Drosophila melanogaster: one gene and its partners. The protein of the gene in region 3 purifies or fractionates together with the protein of the main gene of each other region. This does not show direct contact. Each region holds a gene or a part of one and is shown on either strand. Other genes may lie near its edges.

The links.
Region 1: the proteins of CG11474 (region 3) and CG17746 purify together in Drosophila melanogaster (affinity purification with mass spectrometry, with the first as the bait; one large-scale study listed by BioGRID). This does not show direct contact.
Region 2: the proteins of CG11474 (region 3) and stai purify together in Drosophila melanogaster (affinity purification with mass spectrometry, with the first as the bait; one large-scale study listed by BioGRID). This does not show direct contact.

The regions. Positions count from the first base shown.
Region 1 is NT_037436.4:3,235,640-3,242,991, reverse strand, and holds CG17746 (uncharacterized protein), read left to right. Parts: upstream 1-3,413; 5' UTR 3,414-3,570; intron 3,571-3,618; exon of another isoform or gene 3,619-3,750; intron 3,751-4,009; 5' UTR 4,010-4,098; coding exon 4,099-4,380; intron 4,381-4,919; coding exon 4,920-5,250; intron 5,251-5,327; coding exon 5,328-5,830; 3' UTR 5,831-6,045; downstream 6,046-7,352.
Region 2 is NT_033779.5:6,117,747-6,126,176, forward strand, and holds stai (stathmin), read left to right. Parts: upstream 1-2,927; 5' UTR 2,928-3,064; coding exon 3,065-3,464; intron 3,465-4,027; coding exon 4,028-4,197; intron 4,198-4,258; coding exon 4,259-4,444; intron 4,445-4,517; coding exon 4,518-4,664; intron 4,665-4,951; coding exon 4,952-5,107; intron 5,108-5,231; coding exon 5,232-5,318; 3' UTR 5,319-6,907; downstream 6,908-8,430. Other genes in the region: CG31642 (uncharacterized protein), read left to right, coding at 1,012-2,685; Arpc4 (Actin-related protein 2/3 complex, subunit 4), read left to right, coding at 7,503-8,009; WDR79 (WD repeat domain 79), read right to left, coding at 8,186-8,430.
Region 3 is NT_033778.4:22,069,780-22,076,320, reverse strand, and holds CG11474 (uncharacterized protein), read left to right. Parts: upstream 1-2,877; 5' UTR 2,878-3,020; coding exon 3,021-3,109; intron 3,110-3,253; coding exon 3,254-3,359; intron 3,360-3,426; coding exon 3,427-3,523; intron 3,524-3,688; coding exon 3,689-4,555; intron 4,556-4,613; coding exon 4,614-4,765; 3' UTR 4,766-5,087; downstream 5,088-6,541. Other genes in the region: CG2921 (uncharacterized protein), read left to right, coding at 1,116-1,392, 1,450-1,566, 1,622-2,354, 2,417-2,726; CG11475 (uncharacterized protein), read left to right, coding at 5,142-6,536.

The DNA of each region.
Region 1 (7,352 bases), on a different chromosome or scaffold from region 3:
GTGGAAGGCCAAGTGATTCACTGAGTAAACGACTTCGGCCAAGGCTGCAGCGATATCAGGCCACAACTCATATTAATCAGAGGCTAGTACAATGTGCTCCACTTTATCGGCTAGCGAGTTGCGACAGTGAAAAATGAGCAAATGTCACAAGGATCATAGGGCTTGGCCCGTTCTACCATCTGCATTTCGATCTGAGTTGGTACTTGGCTTGAAACTGGTTTTGCTCAAAGAAAGCAAAAACACTGATAATTAAGTGCTTCGAATGCGGCTTTAAGTTCGATGTTTTTCCACAGAAATCTTTCAATTCCCGCACCTTACACTCAAGCAACACTATTTTCACTTGACTACATACCCTGGAGAGCCACCAATGCGGCTCTGGAGAATCGAATACTTTTCGTGCTAATCCCTAGTCCAGCTCAGCCATTTGGGTGCGGCAATTAAGTCACCATCATCACCACCGGCGAGCAGGATCTTTTTGCAGGGGGAATGGGGGACTTTGGCGGTGAAGGGGCTCGCGTTTCCAGCGAAGATCATTATTGTCTCGTCGCGGATGCTGGATACTGGATGCTCGAATCTCGAATATCTGGACGGTGGATGGTGGTTGCTGAAGAGCAAGACGTCGGCGGCCCCAAAATAAAAAAGTGAGGCAGCCTCCGCGCGGCGGGGCAAACAAGTTAATGAACCTGCGTCTGGGATCCTTGGGACACTCGACTGCGGAGTGGAGGGCAGCCCGTCCAACTAGTTTGGCCCTGGTTTTTCGGCTTTGGTCTGCTTTGAGGATCGGCCATGGCCGCGAACGTCGCGCCGCGCCGAAATCTGTGGCATGAATTCCCTGGAAATTATCGAAATTTCATTTCATTGCGGTACGGCCAGCCGAAATTAAGTTCAACAGCATTCCACCGGTCAGCGACTGTCTGGGCCCGTCTGTTGGCCAAAAACAAAATATATTTGTTAGCCGAGCTTAGAAGAGAGTAGCGCACGTCCTCCTGTACATCAATGAACATCGATTCTTTGGGAAGTTTGCCCTTTTGGATGCCGTATTTATTATGCATCTGTGGAAATGTATCTTATCGTTAGGTTTCGCAGAAATCGCAGTTCTCAAACGTAGCGTCTGGGTCACCATTTTCCATAGCTTAATAAACATACTAGATTGCGGTCACCAAAAACTAAAAATGCTCAATACTTTGATAGTAATTGAAGCTTCATATTGATCTAAGTATGTTGGCAGATGGCAACGGATTGATTTCCTGCCCTGCGACCAAGTTCCTTCATTATCCTTGGGAAAGGAGTCATTGCCCTGCCGCGGCTCACATTACACAATTGCATCGGCGATCCCGATCGGACGGTGCTCAAGTTACACAGAACTCCAGTGGCCTACTTCCACTCGAGTGACCCGCAATGTCCCCGAACAATACCCTTTGTGCCCAGTCCCAGAAAACAGGAGCAGGAGCAGGAGCTGCGTGCAGCAACCCCATTATCCCGATCCTGCTCAGCCAGCCAGCCAGCTAGCCAAAGACAAAGAAACCCATTTTGTCGCATTCAAACAGAAATTAATGTAAAACAAAACCCAATCCAATTCCAATTCCAATCCCATCCAAGAGCTCACTGTTGAGCGGTGATGGCGAGGGGGGGGAAGGGGCGCGCGACCAGCGAGGGCATTTAATTTTATTTTTATAACTGACCTCGAACTTTTGTGCAATGTGATTGAACTGCCTGACGACGATATCTGTGGGCCCTGGTCTGTCCGGCCCCCGTCGCAGTCCCTTTCCGTCAGCGGGACATACACTTGGAAAAATAATGTGGCCATAGGCCCGACTTTGAAGAAATATATAGAAAAGATACATTTAGTTTGGTTGCCACCTAAGCGTATACTTAATATTCTTAATCTACTGGCATTTACTAAGCCAGATTAAAATATTTACCACTTGAAGTAAGAAGAACTTAAATTTATAAATAAAATAATAATAATATAAATGAAATAAATTTTTATATATTATATTAATATTATTTTGCTCAGTGTTGCTGCGATCCGAAGTGCAGCATTTGCATGCAGACTGCATATGGAGCTGTTGATCGCCTCCAACTCCGATTCCGATTTGGAGAGCGATTCAGGGACCGAAACCGAGCCTGGATGCAATCCGCGGTTGACAAACAATATGGAAATTTTACTGAGTGCGCTAAAATAAAAGGGGAAGCGAAAGCGAATCTTAAATGGCAAGAGGCGAGTGTTGGCGAGGGGGGGGGGCGGTGGCAGCGGGGTCGATAGTTGCAGTCGTCAGCGGGGAACGTTAAATGCATAATAAATGTGCGTTCTAGAGGTTGGGAAATAAAATGCGTGCAGCGACGTTGACGCCTTGCACTTTCAATGACCAAACAGAACGATAAGAAAGGCAGAGATATAATACACTGAGCCAAATTAAGTGCATTATCACATTTAAAAACGATTTCTAGCAAGCCAAGCTAGATAAAGTGTCGAACATTATTCCTCAAAATTCGAATAATTTAAGAATAGTTGTTGTTGTATGGAAGTGTATGTTCGTTCCTATCTAATCTTTGTTTGAGTTCCAAATTTGTACTACTTATAAATGCATAAAGGCGGGTGATACCAATTCGTATGTACATATGTAGGTTCGACAACAAAGTTCTGATTGACTTTGTTTGCCGAAACAATTTCAGAGCGCCAAAGATAATGCGAATAAAATGGAAATGGAGAGGGACCTCTGAAATACATCCACTAGTTCTTTATCAAAAATTGCTCTGTGGCTTTTGCTTTTGCTGCTGCTGTGCAAATATTTAATACATTTTTTGCGCTCGCCAAAAGCGCAAAACAAAAGAACCCAAAAAAAGAGACGAAGACGAAGAAGACAATAAATAGAAAGCAGAGGCGTTGGCAGCGGCGAATGCCAGTCAAGCTTTAATTCCCCAAGCAACAACAATATGGGAGCAACAACAAAACAGCAGCAGCGGCAACCGCAAAAAGTGCTTAGCTGACGTCATTTGTCCTTGAATTCGTATATTTGCCGCAAGCCCAAAGCGAAATTCGCAAAATTCAATGCACTCGCCAGCTAAACAAAAAAAATAAAAGAGCAGATAAGACGACGAAAAGGCGAAATGAGAAGCGGAAAAGAGTAGCCGCATAATGTGAAATTTGCATTGGAATTGCAGAATTCATTCGAAATGTGAATTTCAATGGAAAGGCAAAAGAACATCACTCATTATTTGTACAATTAAGGTGCATAAATAATATTTTTTTGGATTTTAAACTTTTTAAATTCAAATCAAGGCGCCAAAACCAAAAAGCTTTTCGCCAGTGCTGCCAAGCTAGTCGAGACGCACTCACAAGCAGGGCGCCACTCTGCCAGTGTTGAACAGTACCGGCATTAGTGTGGTCAACTACCATGCGTTTGTAAACAGCAGTTAGGAATTTACCATTTTTCAGACACGTTCACACTTCAAAACACAAATTCAATAAAAAAATAAACACGCGCAGTTTTTAATAATTTTTTACCAAACAGTTTTTCTTTGATGCGTACTCGCTTTGCAGGGTGGAGCAAAAACGGTGAACGCCAGGTGTGTAATCAGCGCATCGTTAATTTGGCGCCGCTCCTCCTCTTCTATCTTCTCTCCACTTCTCTCCGTTTTTTTTGCGTGTTTTCCGTTGCTGTTCTGGTTTTCCGTTCTTATTTTCTGGTTTTGCATAAGTTTAAATAAGCTGCAAACTGTGAACATATTAGGGAGCACGCGAAGGAAGTACGTTGATCGTCAGCCGTAATATCCGGCTTATCGACGCTCATTTATCACCTGCCCTTTGAACCCAAGCTGAATCCAATTCCGGATCGCGATCCGGCCCTGAAATCTCCACGTCTGTTTGCTTATGCCTCTGATATACTAATCTCCGGAGCCCACGCGTATCTGAAGTTGACAGTCGGCCGTCGGTCGTTCCGCGCTCCGCAGCAGTCAGTTTCGTAATTAACTTAACCCGTGTGCTTGTACGTCTTCTTTCCCGCAGAAAAGCGACGTAAATCGATAGCACTAACCCCGCCCGCAAAGAAGTCAGCCCACACAACACACTCCACACCGCACACCATACAAGCCGCAATGGGTCAGACTCTATCGGAACCGGTGACCGCCAAGGAGTCAGCGTACTGCCAGAACGCCGCCTACCGCGTGGGCAGCTCCTGCATGCAGGGGTGGCGCATCAACATGGAGGACTCGCACACCCACATCCTCTCGCTGCCGGACGATCCGGGAGCGGCATTCTTCGCCGTCTACGACGGGCACGGAGGCGCCACGGTGGCCCAGTACGCCGGCAAGCACCTGCACAAGTACGTTCTCAAGCGGCCGGAGTACAACGACAACATCGAACAGGCGCTGCAGCAGGTGAGTCACGGCAGAGTCACTTTTAGATGGCGGGAATGGCGACATTTATAGATCGCTGAAGGCAGTTGGAGTACCTATGTATATGTACTCCTCACATGCAGTCTTCTTTCGGATATGCACGGTATCGATGATGTCCTTAAATAAATGATAATTGGATACTTGGATATATGAGGGTAGTACCCACTTCTTAAAACCAAAGTTTTACATATTACACATATATGTATGTATGTACAATACGTACCTATTCTATTCTATTCAAGCGACTCATTTCAACAAATTGTTACTCATCTGCAGCACAAAGATTTGTTAAGAATGATAAGTAATGGGATGAAAACAACTTGTTAAAACCTCTATACATTTATCTTTATATGTCTCACGTTTATTAAAGTCATATACTTTTTGAAGATACATATAAACAACAGATTAACTTATAAAGATATCTAAAATGTAATGCCATTTAAATTCACTAGTTTTGAGAACATGTAAAGCTCTTCAAGCCATTCTATTTAATTCATGACTCATATATGATGCAATTGCAGGGCTTTCTGGACATCGACTACGTTATGCTACGCAACAAGACATGTGGTGACCAGATGGCCGGCTCGACTGCCGTAGTTGTTTTGGTAAAGGACAACAAGCTTTATTGCGCCAACGCAGGCGACTCGCGCGCCATTGCCTGCGTGAACGGACAACTGGAGGTCCTGTCGCTGGACCACAAGCCCAATAACGAGGCGGAGTCCAAGCGGATCATCCAAGGCGGCGGCTGGGTTGAGTTCAATCGCGTCAACGGCAATCTTGCGCTTTCCCGCGCCCTCGGTGACTATGTATTCAAGCATGAGAACAAAAAACCGGAAGATCAAATCGTCACAGGTGAGAATCACCATCTCCATCCATTGTTCTTGTTAAGCATTATCACCTTGTTTCTTGTTCTCCGTGCGCCTATATAGCCTTCCCGGACGTGGAGACGCGGAAAATCATGGACGATTGGGAATTCATCGTGCTGGCCTGCGATGGCATTTGGGATGTAATGAGCAACGCGGAAGTGCTCGAGTTCTGTCGCACGCGCATCGGCATGGGCATGTTTCCGGAGGAGATCTGCGAAGAGCTGATGAATCACTGCCTAGCACCCGACTGCCAAATGGGAGGCCTCGGCGGCGACAATATGACCGTGGTGCTGGTGTGCCTGCTGCACGGCCGTCCCTACAGCGATCTGATAGCCCGCTGCCGAAATGGCAGCCAGGCGACTAACAATGATCAAGAGGAAGCCGGCGACGCGACGAAGGATGAAGTCGCAAAGGACGAAGCGGAGGCGGAAACCGATACCGAAACGGAAACGCAAACCAAACCCTGCCAGAAGCAATCCAATTCCGGTCCCATGGACGACGAGGTGAAGATGGCGTCGCATCTAAACAAGATGGCAGCGATCGAAAGCCACTATATATACGATTAATTAGGGTTACAGAAATAGCGCTTAGGTCAACTCTTTATACTTAACAGCGCAAGTGTTCTTGGTTAAGTTTTATATACACACAGTACGCCACACAGTCCTTACCAAAATATTTGCTCCGATTATTAATAATTGTTTTAACTGTAACCCCACGATGCGTGTATATGCCTTGTCTAACTATTTAATGTATGATTTACTATGCTTTGTGATGCCCGAGCAAAATGGATAAAAAAGAATTGTATTACTCGTTTAGTATTTATGTACCTAAGCATACTTGTGAAAGTTGTTTGGAACTGATCTTTTAGAAATGAGTGCGAAGAAGTTTCAAAATTAAAATGAACAAAATGTTTTGTAGTGCCCAAGAAAGTGGAATTTTTTTTTTGTATATTAAGGGGGAACTAAAGTATAAGCGATAAATATTATTAGTCATTTTGTTCGATGTAGAATCCATGAAAGTAAGATGCACTTTTTGAGACTGATTCTACCATCCTGTTTGCCACGCGTTGCAATACTTTTTGGTGGATCCAAGACGGCTATCAGGAACAGCTTTGGCTCCGGTTGGGCATTAAGTTGGACTGGAGTAAATGGCCCCCGTGGATGGTGGTTATCGCTTTATTGTTTTCCTCGGTTATCTACAAAACGAACGCTCGCTGTTGTTGTCCGCTTTTTATTTACTGGGGTTTATAATTATATGAGGCATACAGTGGAATCAAGACTAAAAGTGGCCAGAGTGGGAGCATTGGTCATGAAAAGTTCCGGCCGCATATATGTTTTTTCAACTCGCAAGTATAAATTTTATTTAAACTTTTCGCTATTAAGTCGTTACGTCCTCGCAACATCATCATCGCCTAGTCATTCATCGTCTAGTTTTACGTACAAATTGTTTAATTGTTCAATGGTTCAGGCTTAACTATCATAGCATAGAGAGGAAATGAATTACGCTTTTTGTTTTTTTTTTTGGTTGTTTCTCAGTGTTTGTATTTTTTTTTTCGTTTTGTTTTATTATAATATTTTTATTTATATTTTTGCCATCATATTACACATTCAATTATGTATAACTGCTGTTGGTTTTGCTTTCGCTTGCTGCATAGAGGGATATTGTATTTCTTAGTTAGTTTATAGTTTAAATCATATGCAATTTTATAAACTTCTTGTTACTTTACAGTTATCAATTTCGGTACAATTACAAATTGATTATATATATATATATTTATATATGTATGCATGTACTTCTCGTTATTCATATTACATATTCTCATTTTTGTTTTTTTAACAGACAGGTTTTTCTTCTTGTGTTTATGTTCTTGTTGTTCTTTTGTTGTTGTTGTTGTTGTTTTTCTAGTGATAACAATGTGCGTAAGCATTTTAGTTTAGCGTTGTTTGTTTGTTGCTTGCTGTAGTACAAAATCAGTTTGTAAACTAACTAATGCCAAAGCAACAAAAGGGAAACAACTCAAAAGTTCTTTCGAAATTACATCGAACGTAAAAGTGTTAGGGCGATTTTGATGGCAGTGCCAAAGAAGGT
Region 2 (8,430 bases), on a different chromosome or scaffold from region 3:
TTCTGTGAAATACATAAAAAAATGAAATACTCACAGGTGTACCACCTATTCGCTTTCTATTTCGCGTAATTTGCAAAAATGTAATTGAGGCCAACGTGTGGTACACATGTATGTTAGTGGATGCATTTTACGCTGCCTTTCATTATTATAATGATGCTTATTATTTTAACGAAAGCTTTTAGTTTCACCTAAAGTGCGGGAATGCCTGCGTAGAGTGGAACGGAAATTCATAATCAAAATATGGCCGTCTACCAATTGCAATGTATAAACAAAAAAGGCGAATGTTCTATTTAAGTTGTTCCAATTTTGCGACAAAAAAAGAAGTGGAAAAATCTTAAATCTCAAGCAAATTAATGATTATATGTGCAAACTCGTAAAAAATACAAATGCGAACATTTTAACTCGAATATGAATATAACACAAATAAAAGGGTTTAAGAAACGAAACTGTAAACGAAATAACTCATCGAAGCTATTGTATATGAAGTATATGCTATCTATTATGGCGGGTTATGCGTTGATATCATAAGATTACAAATTATGCAAAAACATGTTGTTTCTATAGCTACTTAATTGTACATTGTAATTGTAAGTAATTTATAAGGCCACAGAAATATACTCCGTCATAGAAACTTCTCGTCGTGCACGTGCTCCTATTTTTTCGGGATTTTCACAATTGTTGATAGAATCGAGTTGGCAGCGCCTTTTGGAGTTTAGCTTTCAGTCTCACTTTTTTGTTCGATATTCAATAGAAGTTTAGTCAAATAATTTTTCTTGTCGAGTAAAGGTGTTCATCAGTTGAAAGTGAAAAGTTGTGAAAAGAGTAAGTTGTTGAAACGAATAAAAAACACTGGCGAGGCCGCTCACATTTCAATTTTAAATAGGGTTCTCTAATATCATAAACAAAATTCAGCAAACTTTTGAGTCTTCACCAACGACGATTCTCTGCGCACAATTCGTATATAATATCATCCGTGCACGAATTCCATTGCCAGAATCACTTCAAGCACCCATGGCCCACCAGATGCGCAATCCGCCGGAGCGCCACTTTGGCCACCGCTGCGAGAACTGCAAGATATCCGATTTCCAGGGCCGCCGCTACACCTGCAGGTTCTGCGCGGAATACACTTTGTGCGGCAAGTGCTTCGATGCCAACCATCTGCCGGCATCGCCTCAGCATCGCTACTACCATCCGATGAGTGTGTACTATGCCTATGCCGAGTACCAGCTGTACTTCGGCGGCGAGCCATTCTGCGGTGATCACAAAGTGGCCCAGAGCTACAAATGTGCCCTGTGCGATGTTCGCGGCCTTTCTACCGCCCATTTGTTCATGCACCTGCTGCAGGAGCATCGCGACCACCGTGACCACGATGCCTACTTGTCGTTGGTCAATACTCTCTATATAGCGGACAACGGAATGGAGCAACAGGTGCCAGTACCGCAACCTTCTAGCCAAACGCGCTCGACTCGTTCTCGCAATTTAGCAAGCGTTCGACCGGTAGCCGGTGGCAACACGCGAAGCGAACAGCGGACCGAGCAGGTATTTGATTCCGCATTAAGCCTGGCCCTAATGGTTGTGCAGCTGGACAATATGGATTCAACTGCCGCCGACTTTCCTGAACGCTGCTATGAGATACTGCAGCAGACTGAAACTGTGCTTATGCAGCACAGAAGTTCCAGAGTGCCGGACATGGAGGCGATTGAGTCTTTTGTGCGCGTCATCGAAGATCAGGTTGTGACTAGCATGGCCGATCGTCGTCAGCGTCTGGGCGCCTCATCATCCTCACTACATCGGCTGACCCGCATTGAGGCAATCTCTCCTGGTACTAATACAGCGTTAGCTATGGGTATGCGTGCTGCCATGCCCGTTTTGGTTGACCAGCCGACAACAATGGTGCGCAGGCAGACGGCTAGGCGTACTGGAGAGCCTATCGGGATAGCCCTTCAATCGGCGGTGGCTTCGTCTTCTAGGAGCGGAAAAGCGGGGTCCAGCTCTGGGGTAGCCAAGGCACAAACGAAGACGCAAGGAGATCAGCCCACCAAGAAGGTGTCAACTGTCATTACTTCCCCACTCAAGGATAAGCGCTTTTTGTGCTCGAAATTGGTGAGCGGAAATGGCCAAAAGTGGGAAAGCAAATTGCTCAAAGCTACCTTTACCGAGGCAATGTTCTGTTCGATGTTGGCAGACGAAGAGCTGTTCCAGCCGCCAATTGGACTGCCCTGGACTGCGAATTTCATGTTGGACGCAGTCGAGCCATCAGGCAGTGTAAAATCAAATGGGAAACTATTGCTGTATCCTGTTAAGACCAAGGAATTGATGGAACGCTTCTACAGGGGTCTCGCCGAGTACAAAACTTGGATTGGTTATCAGACCGAACCAACTGCCGAAAGCAAGGCAACTGAACTCCCATCCGCTTCCACCAGCTCGGCTTATTTCACAGTTTTGGGCGATATCCCATATGCGGATTCCGGATCGGATGATTTGGAAAGTAATGCATCAGAAGAAATGGCCAGCGATTTGCATGGCGAAGGAAACAGCGATGATTTAGCCGGATTGGAGGAGGACAAGGAAAGCGGCGAGGAAGAAAACGGTGATGAGGACGATGGAGCTTCGGATTCCGATTTCTCTGAGTCAGCCATTTCTCAAATCACCGACTTCATAGATATGGTCATCCAGGACGAATAGGCGGGGCACCCAGCATTTGTAGGAAATAAGCCTCGGTATTTTCATAATTACATATGCATATGTAGTATTTTGAAATAAACATTTCTAAAAGAAAATGACCAAACGATCTGGATGTTTCCTCAGGTTTTTCCATTTCATAGGAAGCTTTTCTCGGATATTTCTCTGGCTAGTGGAAGATGATTTACAAAATCTTATTTGCACATCTAGTAGGCAGCGCTTTTCCATTTTATTCCGGTCTACAGTTGTCTCTATTTGTTATTGCAAAACATTTCTCCGACATCTGAGAACAAAATATAAATAAAGCATTAAACATTTTTCGATAAACCCAGTAACGACGCCAAATTGAACTTCGATCAGTCATTTGATCATATCATTTAAAATGGGTTGCAATTTCTCTGCTTTACCGACCAAATGTAAGGGTTGCGGGCAAATTCGCGCTGACTTTGACCGACGGTACGGTTGCAGTGAGTGCGGATCTGAGGTAATGTACTGCGGCCAGTGTTTTGATGAGGGCCGAAATCAGCACACTGAGACGCACAAGGACGACCGCCGCATTAAGATTATCTACCATCGGTCCTTTCTTGACAAATTCTTCAGCGGCGAGAAGCTGCTAAACGGCGATGCTTCAAAAAGCTACAATTGCGTTTTTTGTAAGAAGAGATTTAGCGCCGAGGAGTTGCAGTTGCACTTGTCCGAGATGCACTCGAATCCCGCGGATGCGTCAGCGTTGACGGTCATGCTGGAAAGGATGAGGCAGGAAGATTTGGAGAACAGAATTGGTGAGATATGGCAACATTTTGGGTAAACAATCTATGCACACTCATTGTGATTGCCTAAAAGCTTTTGTCACCATTGACACTCCATAATAATAGCAAATTATGTGTCAAAATATGGTTATGGATACATATAAAAGGTGTCCACTGTCGGCTGTCGTGGCAACATCTTCAAGTATCGTTATCCCTCTTGTTCAATGATTGTATACATATACATATTTTTGTTTTGACAAATCATTTTTCGCTTCGTTGGTTGTCCAGCATTCCATTTGATGGATTTGTCTACAAGTTAGATAATGAGAATGTCAAGATATCGATTTTAGGTGATTATATTTCGATGTAACACTAAATTCGTATTGTTTAACTTATTGGCCAAAAGAACAACATTTAAGTTTAGTTTTTAAGGGGGTGGAAGTGTAAAAATGACGTCATGTTGTTTTGATGGGGGGAAAGCCAAGTCGAGGGTTGAACCACGAGGTTCACCCTTAACCGCAACTATTCGATGCACCCCAAGTGCAAAAATATTGAATTACTATAAGTCTCCCTTTGCTTTCCTTCCTCCTCCACAGCCACAGAGATTCGCTGCCAGGAGAAGTCCCGCGGGGGATTGAGCTATGAGGTCATCCTGGCCGAACCGGCACCCAATGTGGCCGTTCCAAAACGACCGGTCACCCCTGGCAAGAACGTTAGCGTCGAGGAGATTGAGCAGAAACTTAAGGCGGCCGAGGAACGTCGCATTGTAAGTACATAAATTAAAGAATTAAAGTTGTTGTAAAGCAAGTGAAATCTTGTTTCCCCAGTCTCTAGAAGCCAAGAAGATGGCTGACATCTCCACTAAGCTGGCTAAAGTCGAGGAGGCGACTCGCAAAAAGGATGAGATCACCAATGAGTTTATTACTCAGACCAAGGAGCAGCTGGAGTCGAAAATGGAGCTGCATGTGGAGAAGCGAGAGGCCATCATCAGTGACATGAAGGAGAAGCTAAAGGTAGGCTACCAAACCTATTGCATCCCATAGTATATTCCCAACTAACCAAGTATTTTCTTCCGTTTAACGAAAGATCCATGCCCAGGATATCGAAAAGACGCGTGAGACTCTTGAGCAGCAGAAGGCCAACGAGCAGAAGGCAATCGAGGAAAAGTTGAAGATTGCTCAGTCTCTTCGCGATGAGAATATCAAGAAAATGTTGGATCGCCTAAAGGAGCATGTGAGTCTATAGCATGGCCAAAAGTTTTCATTAAATCTAGTTTATGATTAGATGTATGTAATTATAATATTCAATACCCAAGATCCCATAAGTCTCAACAATTACTTTATAAACATTACATTAACTTACATTCATTGCTGGAATATAAAATTGAAATGACACATCATTTTGACTGGACTAGCAAACTGGTTAACATTTAGTTAGTCATTGAGTGTACGAACTATAAATAAGTTATCATGCGTTCATATAATTTTGGTTTTTCATTTCTCTTATATCCTCTCATTTAGAACACAATCAAAATTGCCGAAATCAAATCGCAGAACGATCAATTGGAATGTCAAAAGATCGAGGAGAAAGCGCGCATTTATGAGAACAAATTGTTCGCCGCCGAGCAGAAACGCGAAAAGGAATTGCAAAAAAAAATTGAAAAAGTTCAAAAACTCGTACGTGTTGTTCCCCCCCACTGAAAGCGACAATTTGCCCTATTGTTTGAGTAGCACTTGGCAGTAGTTGCACATCTCCATTCGCAAACGAATATTAATCCTTGATTGCTTTCCTTTCTTTCAGGAACGTCGCGCTGAGCTCGTGCGCCAGAACAAGGCCCAGGCCCAGGATTTGGATGGTCAGCAGAGCGCCATTGCCTCCTCAGGCTAAGTGGAGAACGATCCTGCATCGAGAGCTGTGCTCACCCACTGCAAACATGGTTACAAGGCGACTACAAAAAGAACAGCAACACTGCATAATACACCAACACATATTTAAGCAAGAAAACCCTTAAAACTGAAAACGATTTCTCAAAATTTCCAAGTATTATGAAAGCAAACGAAGCGAAGGGCAAGGGCAAAGTCTCAAGATACCGCTGAGCGAGTTTTCTCACGAGCTCTATAATGAAACACGAATAAGCTACTATAAAGCGAAAAGAAATGAATGCTTACGGCAAGTTAATGCAAAAAAAAAATTAGTAAAGGAAATCTACATTTAAACTTAAAAGCCCAGGCAGAAAAGCCTATGCAAGTTGAATGCATGCCTGTCATTTAAAATTTCAAATTCTTTTAAAAGTTCACGTTGATTTCAGTTGAAAGTTTAAAACACTTTTTACCTTGAGTTCCAAGAATGTTATATTCGTTTTGGATTCATTATTTTCAAAGTCTTAGTCTTGAATGTTCAAGTTTTTTTTTTTTTTTAATTACTGTGGCATCGACTGAGGTATTCTCAAAATAATAAGCACGCTGTATTTGCATCTATGAATGGCTTTCGCGAGTAAAAATTTGAAAATGTTTTTAATTAAGTTAATGTATACTTTAGTGGTAATTTTAATTTACTAACTTGCAACAACATGATACATATACATGCTGAATATAGTTTTACACTAACAAATAATTTGTTCTTATAAGTTTCGCATTTTCTATCTATAAAATAAATGTCTAACAGAAAAAATACATAAGAAATGCTTATACAATTCAATAAAATCAAATACCATGTAAAACACACGAAACGCATTTTTCCTTTATTTACATACAACACAAACACTAAAAACGCTGATATAGACATTAATATAAATGGAAGGAAACTACGTATAAGCATACATTAATGTGTGTAATATTATATGGAAATGCATATTTTGTCTAACGTCGGGTTATTTTTAGAAATGGGTTTAAGAGGAGAGTGAATGTGGGGGTTATAATAAAAAAAAAAAAAAGTATTTAGGGCAAACCAAATGGAATATTTAGGAAAATTTTTTCCAAAAACCTGCGAGTTATTTTTAATTTTGCACCAAAGGGCGCTTTAAAGATTAGCTTAAATTTAAATCTTATATCGTTATATATGTATGTGTACTCGTGTAAACCTATGGCTTCTACAAATGAATATCAATAACATAAATCTCTTAATAAAAATGTGCATTGGCAAAACAATTTAACACGCACAGGACACCAAATTACCCAGACACGAAAACTTTCAAGCATACTCAAGAAAAAACGAACAAAATATAAACGCAAAGCATAAAATGCTTTGATATTTACTCAATTTATGATATATTAATGTCTAATCCAATGCAATAATCAGCCGAAACATTTTTTGAGTATTGAGAGTAGGAAAGGGTTACAATTTTGAACGATTGATTAAAATACTCACTTTCTAGGTTCACGCATAATTTAAGTTCATATAAGCCACAAATAACTGACCATATGCGAGCAAAAATACTTATAACAATTGTATAATAAAAGTGCATTAAACAAATAAATGCAATATTTATAATTGGTGGATGCTGTTTTCTTCTAAATTAACATTTTTCCTCTTTGCTGGTGTGTTGGGTTTTCGGACTTTAATATGGTACACATATATTTGATATTTCCATTTCAAATTTTAACGCTTCTAGCCATATACATTTTTCTTAAATTTTTAAAATTTAGGTATGATTTAAATTGTTTCACTCCTAAAAATTCCACAAAGATAAGATACAAATGGAAATGGAACAGTGGTTGTGGTCTCGGGTAAGTTCTTGATAGTCAAGTTTCTTACCATCTTAACACAGGACATCATAAGAAATGTTTTAAGTGCGATTTGATAAATGTTTAAAAACAACATGTTTAATATTGATTGTATAAACTTTATGCATAGTCTTCCCAAACATATAATAGAAACTGTTTCATAACAAATTCCAAATAGTTGCTATGTTTTTGCGGCCCCACCTCGGCATTGGTATTTTCCTGCCAGCCGCGCATGGTCACATCTTTTCTGGTTGATAAATTCCAGGGCCTGTGAATCATAATAAGTTAAGTAAAAAGTGCAGATACAACAAACCGCAGGCAGCAGACAACAACCCGACACCCAGACACAATGGCAGCCACATTGAAGCCCTACCTGACCGCCGTGCGACACTCGCTGACGGCGGCGATGTGCCTGCAGGACTTCCCCTCGCAGGTGGTGGAGCGGCACAACAAGCCGGAGGTGGAGATCTGTTCCAGCAAGGAGCTGGTGCTCACGCCCGTCGTCGTGTCGCGCAACGAGCGGGAGAAGGTGCTGATCGAGCCGTCCATTAACTCGGTGCGCGTGAGCATCGCCGTGAAGCAGGCCGACGAGATTGAGCGCATACTGTGCCACAAGTTCACCAGGTTCATGATGCGACGCGCCGAGTCGTTCGTCATACTGCGCCGCAAGCCCATCGAGGGCTACGACATAAGCTTCCTCATCACCAACTTCCACACGGAGCAGATGTATAAGCACAAACTGGTGGACTTTGTCATTAGCTTCATGGAGGAGATCGACAAGGAGATCAGCGAAATGAAACTGGCGGTCAATGCCAGGGCACGCACCTGCGCCGAGGAGTTCCTCAAACGGTTCTAGGTAAGTGTTCCACCTAACAGCCATCGCCATTGAGTCGACGCCAACTTACTCTCGCAAATCCTTTGCAGGTGAAGGCAACCAGTATGGACCCGGTCATGATGCTTTAGTATTTCCAAATGGATTCAAGAATAAAGACGGATTTTGTATTATTTACTCGACTACACCAGTTTTATATGCTATCCCGTTTGGCCGCACCACCACATGACCACTGCGTTCTCGTAGAGAACTTCCTTCTGATTTTGATTCACATCGGCCGGCGCCGGCAACTCCGTCGTTTCCGTTCCGTTTAAGGTCACGTTGTCCCCTTGGGCACTTTGGTCTGTAAAGTGGAACTGCCCCGAGCTGGTGGCTAGAATCGGCATAGCCGGATTGAGTGCCACTCCGTTGCAGCAGTCTGAATGCAGGGGCAGTACGGAAGGAT
Region 3 (6,541 bases):
TGGCGGGGTGTGCGGTGTGTGTTTGTGTGTGCGGGTGGTGCTCCAAGGGTCCGCGCGAGTGTGTGCGTGTGTGGTGACTCCGAGTCCAAACTCAAATCCAAATCCCCGTTCGTGTGTCTGTGCGGGTGGGCGTTTCTATTCACGATGGCATTTGCTGCGGTTGCCCTGCGGTTTAGCGCTGCCCGATTGCGAGACCAGATCGGATCGAACAGATCAATCGAGGTGCACTCACTGGTTGGCCGTTCCTCGCGCTTTAAACATTTTGCAGACCTCGCGTCGCGTTCGTTTGCCAAATAAAACTGCAATAAAGGGGCAGTGTTGGCAGCGCTATGAATCAGATGCGGAAGCAAAAAGGGGATAAAAAAGCCATCACGCTTTCCCAATTTCCAGCACTGTTCGTAAGACAGCTGATTACCGATACTTATGATTTTTCAATACTACTTATGTAAAAAATATGTAAAATATCTAATAACATGCATATATCTAAAAAAAAAAATATGTTTACGTTATTAACTACGTAACAACGTATTTGCATTTTTTCTTTTAATTTTCACATTCATATGTATTTATTAAAACTATTATTGTTTAAAATTTTAAAACAATATATTGCTTGTATTCAAATAGCGATGCTTATAAAACCATAAGCTGAAACAACTTAAACATATAATTGATAACCACGACACTAACGTCCTGTATTATTCATTAAATTTTTTAGAAATATACTTCAACCTTTTCGTTAAATAAAAGAAAAAAAAACCCATCTATTCTCAACCAACTAAATATAATTTCTTGAAAAATTTTAGCATATTAATAAAAATGAAAAATAAATAAACAAGAATGTGGTAAATTGCATTTTCTTAAGCAACTGAATATTTTTCATGAGGAGTTTTATCTGTTAAACTATAATTTTAAAAATAAGTCAGAATGAAAAAATTCACACTCGCGCATAAACTTAACAAATCAAATTCACAAACAGTCCTGCGCATAATCGCAGTGTGACGTGCGTTAGGCAACACTAAACAGATTGCAGCTTTGAAAAATCAGTCAAAATCAGGTAAATTCTGCTAAAATGCACCAGTAAACGCACAAAAATCACAGACAAAAAAAAAGAAAAGATGGAATCCTTATCGAAGGACCCTTCCTCGGAAGGCGAACTGCCCGAGGACGAAGGCAAAACGGACTCGGAACCCAGCAAAATATCGCGACTGTTGCGAACGGAATTCGATGCCAAATACCAGATCGTAAACCTGCAGACTCCTCTCAATGCCTTTATGTCGGGCCATTACAAGCAGAGCTTTGCCTTCTTCACACTCCGGAGTCGGCTGCCCGTGATCCTGACCAACGTGATAGATACGCTGACACGGGACAAATCCGAGCTGGTAGCCCAATTCGGTTGGTTAATCCCTGCAAGCGTTTTTTGGCATCTCCATTAACTTTTTCTTCTTCCAGCCTCAAATGAATTTTCACAGGCTGCCCGCGAGGAGCTAAAGATCATTATTGGATTGATCTCCAGGCTAAAGTACGAGCTGCAAACGGACAAATCGTTTCAAAACTTTACTGGCGAAGGTTAGTTCCTAGCTTCATAGAATTCTCATGAGGATTATAAGCCTTGTTTTCTTAGAACCCGATCGAGATGTTTGGAACAACTTTATCAGCAACCTGCCCGATGGCGAACGCAGCTTCTACAAAGCCAGCTCCCTCCATGCCGAGTGCTATCTGCACCGCAAACTCCACTCCTTTCTGGAAAACAGCGTATTTCTGAAGTCATACGATTTCTTTGCCAAAGTCAAGGAGCAGGCGCTAACGGATAGCATTGATGATATACTGGCCCTGACCAAGTACACACGACGATCAGAGAACAGCGTGGAGGTGTTCGACGAGCTTCTGAGGATCAACATGTGGAGCAACTGCAATGATGTGGCGACCGACACGGATACAGTAAAGCAATCGAACCGCCAGGTGCTGGAGAAAGTGGCAAACACCGATGAGCGCGTACTGGTTAACCAGGCAGCGGAGATTTGGAGGTGCTTGGAAAACCCTAAACTGAAGAAGCATAAGCAGGTGGACTTTATACTGGACAATGCAGGCTACGAACTCTTTAGCGACTTTATACTGGCTGAGTTCATGATTGAGAAGGGACTGGCCGACAAGGTGCGGTTCCATGTGAAGGCCCACCCTTGGTTTGTCACCGATGTGACGGAGCGGGACTTCAAGTGGACGCTGGAGTACTTGAGTGAGCATGCGGACTACATTATAAGTCTGATAGGAAAGAAGTTCCTACAATTCATCGATGAGGGAAAGTTCGAACTGGCGCCAATCTCGCATTTCTGGACATCACCACATTCGTTTTACAGGTTCGCATTCCGGATATGACTGCATATTCAGTGCCTCCTAATTACATCTTTGACTATTGCAGCATGGCGCAAATGGATCCAGATTTGTATAGTTCCCTGCAGCTATCCAAGCTGGTGGTCTTCAAGGGAGAGCTCAACTATCGCAAGCTGCTGCAGGACGTCTGCTGGGACCCCACCCAGGAACTCAGCACCTGCCTCCGTGGCTTCCTTCCCAGCAACATTTGTGTGCTGCGGCGGGTCAAGAGCGAAGTTATCTCCGGCCTGCCCGAGGGCGTTGGCCAGGCGCTGAGTGTGAAGGATCCGCGCTGGATGGTCTCGGGCAGTTATGGGGTCATTCAGTTCGTTGACGGAGCTCGTGAATTTGGCTATTAATCTTGTACAGGCTGGTCAGCTTAAATTATTGGTAATAAATAGTCGTTACATATCTAGAAGCCAAAGACGTCTTAAATATATACATATATGTACCTTTTTTGCTATGAAACAATAAAAAACTTGAAACATAAGTAACAAATTTTGAAAATTCAAAAAGTATCGCCTTGTAAATTATCGGTTCCAATTTCGGTATTTTCCATCACCGCCAAAGCGGTCACACTACGCGCCACTTTATCAATTTATAAACTTTCCGCAGCAGTACAATTCGGCTGGAGCAACAAACAGATCCTCGAAATGGGCAGCGAAACGGATTTTGACGCAAAGAATGGAATCGTGGACGGACCAACCCCGCCCCACACCGAGCTGGCGGCCCTCTATAAGCAGTGAGTAGGGCTAAATATAGCGCCTACTATAGATGGTGTCTAAATGGCCCGCGCATATGTAACAAATACGCCGACCCATCGTTACCCACACATCCAAGCTGTGGAATTGAATTATGATTATTACTTAAAAGTCATTTATTGCAGGAGCTTTGCCTACTACACCTTCCGTGTGCGTCTGCCTTCGACCTTGGCCACCATCGCGGATTCCCTAGTCAAGGACAAGGACGTCCTCCTGGCCACATATGGCGCGGTGGGTAGTTGTGTGCACTTCTACCTTGACCTTGAGCTTAAACCTTTGATATCAAATTGCATTCCAGGCAGCGGAAGCCGATATTGAACAAACTACAAAGGAGGTTAGACAGCTGCGGGATGACATCCTGAGCAACGGTCCTTTACTGCCCTTTGGTGAAAATGGTAGGTATTTGGGTGCTCATTGGGTTGGCAATCATATAAGTGTACTGTTTTAATTTCTTTTAATAGCATTGAACTCATAATTGATTGCGTTTTATATATTATTATTTCATTTACCCTGCGCAAAATGAATTTCTTTGATAAGAATAACGAATCTGTGCCTTTCAGATTCCGACTCTGAAGTGTGGAATGCATTCCTGGAAAAACTGCCCAAGGAGAAGAGAACCTACTTTTCCGTCTGCTGGCTGTACGCCGAGTGTTATATGTACCGCAAAATCTCATCTATTTTCCGGGCCACAGCCCATCTGGCCGCCTACGACTACTTCAGCCAGCAGAAACAGACGGCGACCAAACTGAGCGTGGACGCCATGCTGGCGGTGGCCAAGGCTACGCGGCACAATGAACGAAACTCGGACACCTTCCGCCAGTTGATCAAACTCAATTTGTGGGGCAACCGATGCGATCTGTCCATAACCTCCGGCAAACAGGTGAAGCCCACTGGCAATGCCTTTGACCAAGTTACGGATTTGGAGGAGAAGCTACTAATCGACGGCACCGCGGAGGTATGGAAAGCCCTGGACGGAGCCTCCGGAGAGGGCATTGTGGACATCATTTTCGACAACGCCGGCTATGAGCTGTACACGGATCTCATTCTGGCTGAGTACATTATCGACAAGGGATTGGCTGCCAAGGTGCGCTTCAATCCCAAGGCCATTCCTTGGTTCATTTCGGACGTGATGGAGCACGACTTCCACTGGGCACTTCAATTTCTGGCCGACCATCCGGATCCTGTGCTGAGTGAGGTCGGAAAAAAATGGCAGCGTTTGACGACCGAGGGCAAGTTCGAGCTTTCGCCACTGGAACACTTTTGGACGAGTCCCTACGAGTTCTATCGCATGCCAGAGGTAAATCCCTCACTCTACGACCGCCTGAAGGAGGCGCAACTGGTTATCTTCAAGGGTGACCTCAACTATCGCAAGTTGTTAGGCGACTTCTCCTGGGACAGCACGGAGTCCTTCGAAACTTGCTTGAGGGGTGAGTCTATCTTGACAGTAATTCTTCCAGTACTTACACGTTTTATATCCCTGTTAAGGCTTTCGTCCTTCCAATCTCTGCACTCTGCGCACAATTAAAGCGGATCTGATCTGCGGATTGGGTGCAGGCGTGGCGGACCAACTGTTTGCCAAGGATAAGGAGTGGATGTTGACTGGCGAGTATGGCGTAATACAGTTTGCCAGCAAGTAGAGAAAGAAGGAAATCAGGACAAGGAACAGCAAACTAGTTGAATTGTTTTAGTCGTTATAAGCTTAGCTTAATTGTTGAAATTCAGAGTGACCTATGCGAGATCCAAAACGAAATTATACTCAATTTAATCATTAACACTTCAACTATGACTAATTTAGTTTTTATAAAATGTTTTTAAACACATTTAAAACGTTTGCATTGCCTTTAGCAATTTAGTTGTACTCCAAAGCCTTTGGCATTGCTTAGTAAGCACAGACACTCACTCATATGAACGTCAGTTGTCCTATTAGGGCTATTAAAGTTTAGGAAAATATTAATTTGGAATCGAAATATTTTCCTGGCAAAGAGGGCTTCGAAATTCTACGTTTTAGGCGAAATGCATAGTGCTGACTTAACTAGCCACACCGATGTGACGGAAACCACCAATCTTGCCGCCATTGAGCAGTTGAAGGAACAGCGATTCAACGAGAAGAATCTGATCATATACAATCCGCCTGGAGAGAATGACGAACTTTCCGCCAGATTCCTGCGCAGCCTAGCTTTTGCCACCTTCAAGCGAAGATCGCCCGCATTTTTGAGGGATTTGATCACATTCCTACAGGATCGTGAGGCGGATATAATTGAACAGTGCGGGGACTATGCCCATTTCGATTTGAAGCGCACCATCTGGAGCCTGGAGCTGCTGCGCGATGATATAATCAACAACAGGGAGTTCCAGATAATTCGCGTCAAGTCGCCGGACACTGACAGCTGGAACTCGTTCCTCAAGGGTCTTGGAGAGGACAGAAGGCAGTGGTTTTCGGCAATTTGGCTGCATGCGGATTGCTACATGTACCGCCGCATTTGGTCGATCTTCCAGCGATCCGAAACCCTGAAAAATTATGATTACTTCGGTGATCAAAAGACGTCCATTGTTACCAATGTGGCGCCACTGATGAGGGACATCCTAGTCTCAACCAAAGGCATTAAGCGCAGCCAGGAGGACTTTCAGTATCTCCTAAAACTATCTACGTGGTCCAATCACGGTGACCTAAACATCACAAGAAGGGGTGCGCATGACAAAATCTATAAACAGATTGCCAAATACGACATTGATTTGCTGGCGGATCAGTCGTTCGATGTTTGGCAGGATCTCATCGAGGCCAGTGCGCCCGTCTACGTGGACATCGTGTGCGACAATGCGGGATTTGAGCTCTTTGCGGATCTGCTGCTGGGCGAGTACATCATAGAATCGGGCTTGGCCAGTCGGGTGCGGTTCCATGTGAAGGCTATACCGTGGTTCATCTCGGATTGCACGCACAAGGACTTTAACTGGCTAGTAAAGTTTCTACGCAAGCACGAGTTCCAGGAATTGAATGCCTTTGGTAAGCGGATACGTGGCTATATCAGGGATCGTTCCTTTATCCTGTGCGACAAAAGCTACTTCTGGACAAGTGGTCACGACTACAGCCAGATGAAGCGGGTGCAACCTTGCCTGTATGTCTACATTAGCCAGGCATCCCTGGTGATCTTTAAAGGAGATCTCAACTACCGGAAACTGCTCGGCGACATCAACAACAAACCCACTACCCAGTTTTCCGACTGCCTGCGCGGCTTTCAACCATCCAGCGTCTGTGCCCTGCGCGTCATTAAGTCCGATATCTATTGTGGACTGCCCATCTGCACGGTGGAGAAGCTAAGCGAGGAGAATCCCGAGTGGATGGTCACTGGCGACAAGGCCGTCGTACAGGTGGCCATCAAGCATCGACTCTCGAGTGACATTATCGTTTGAACACA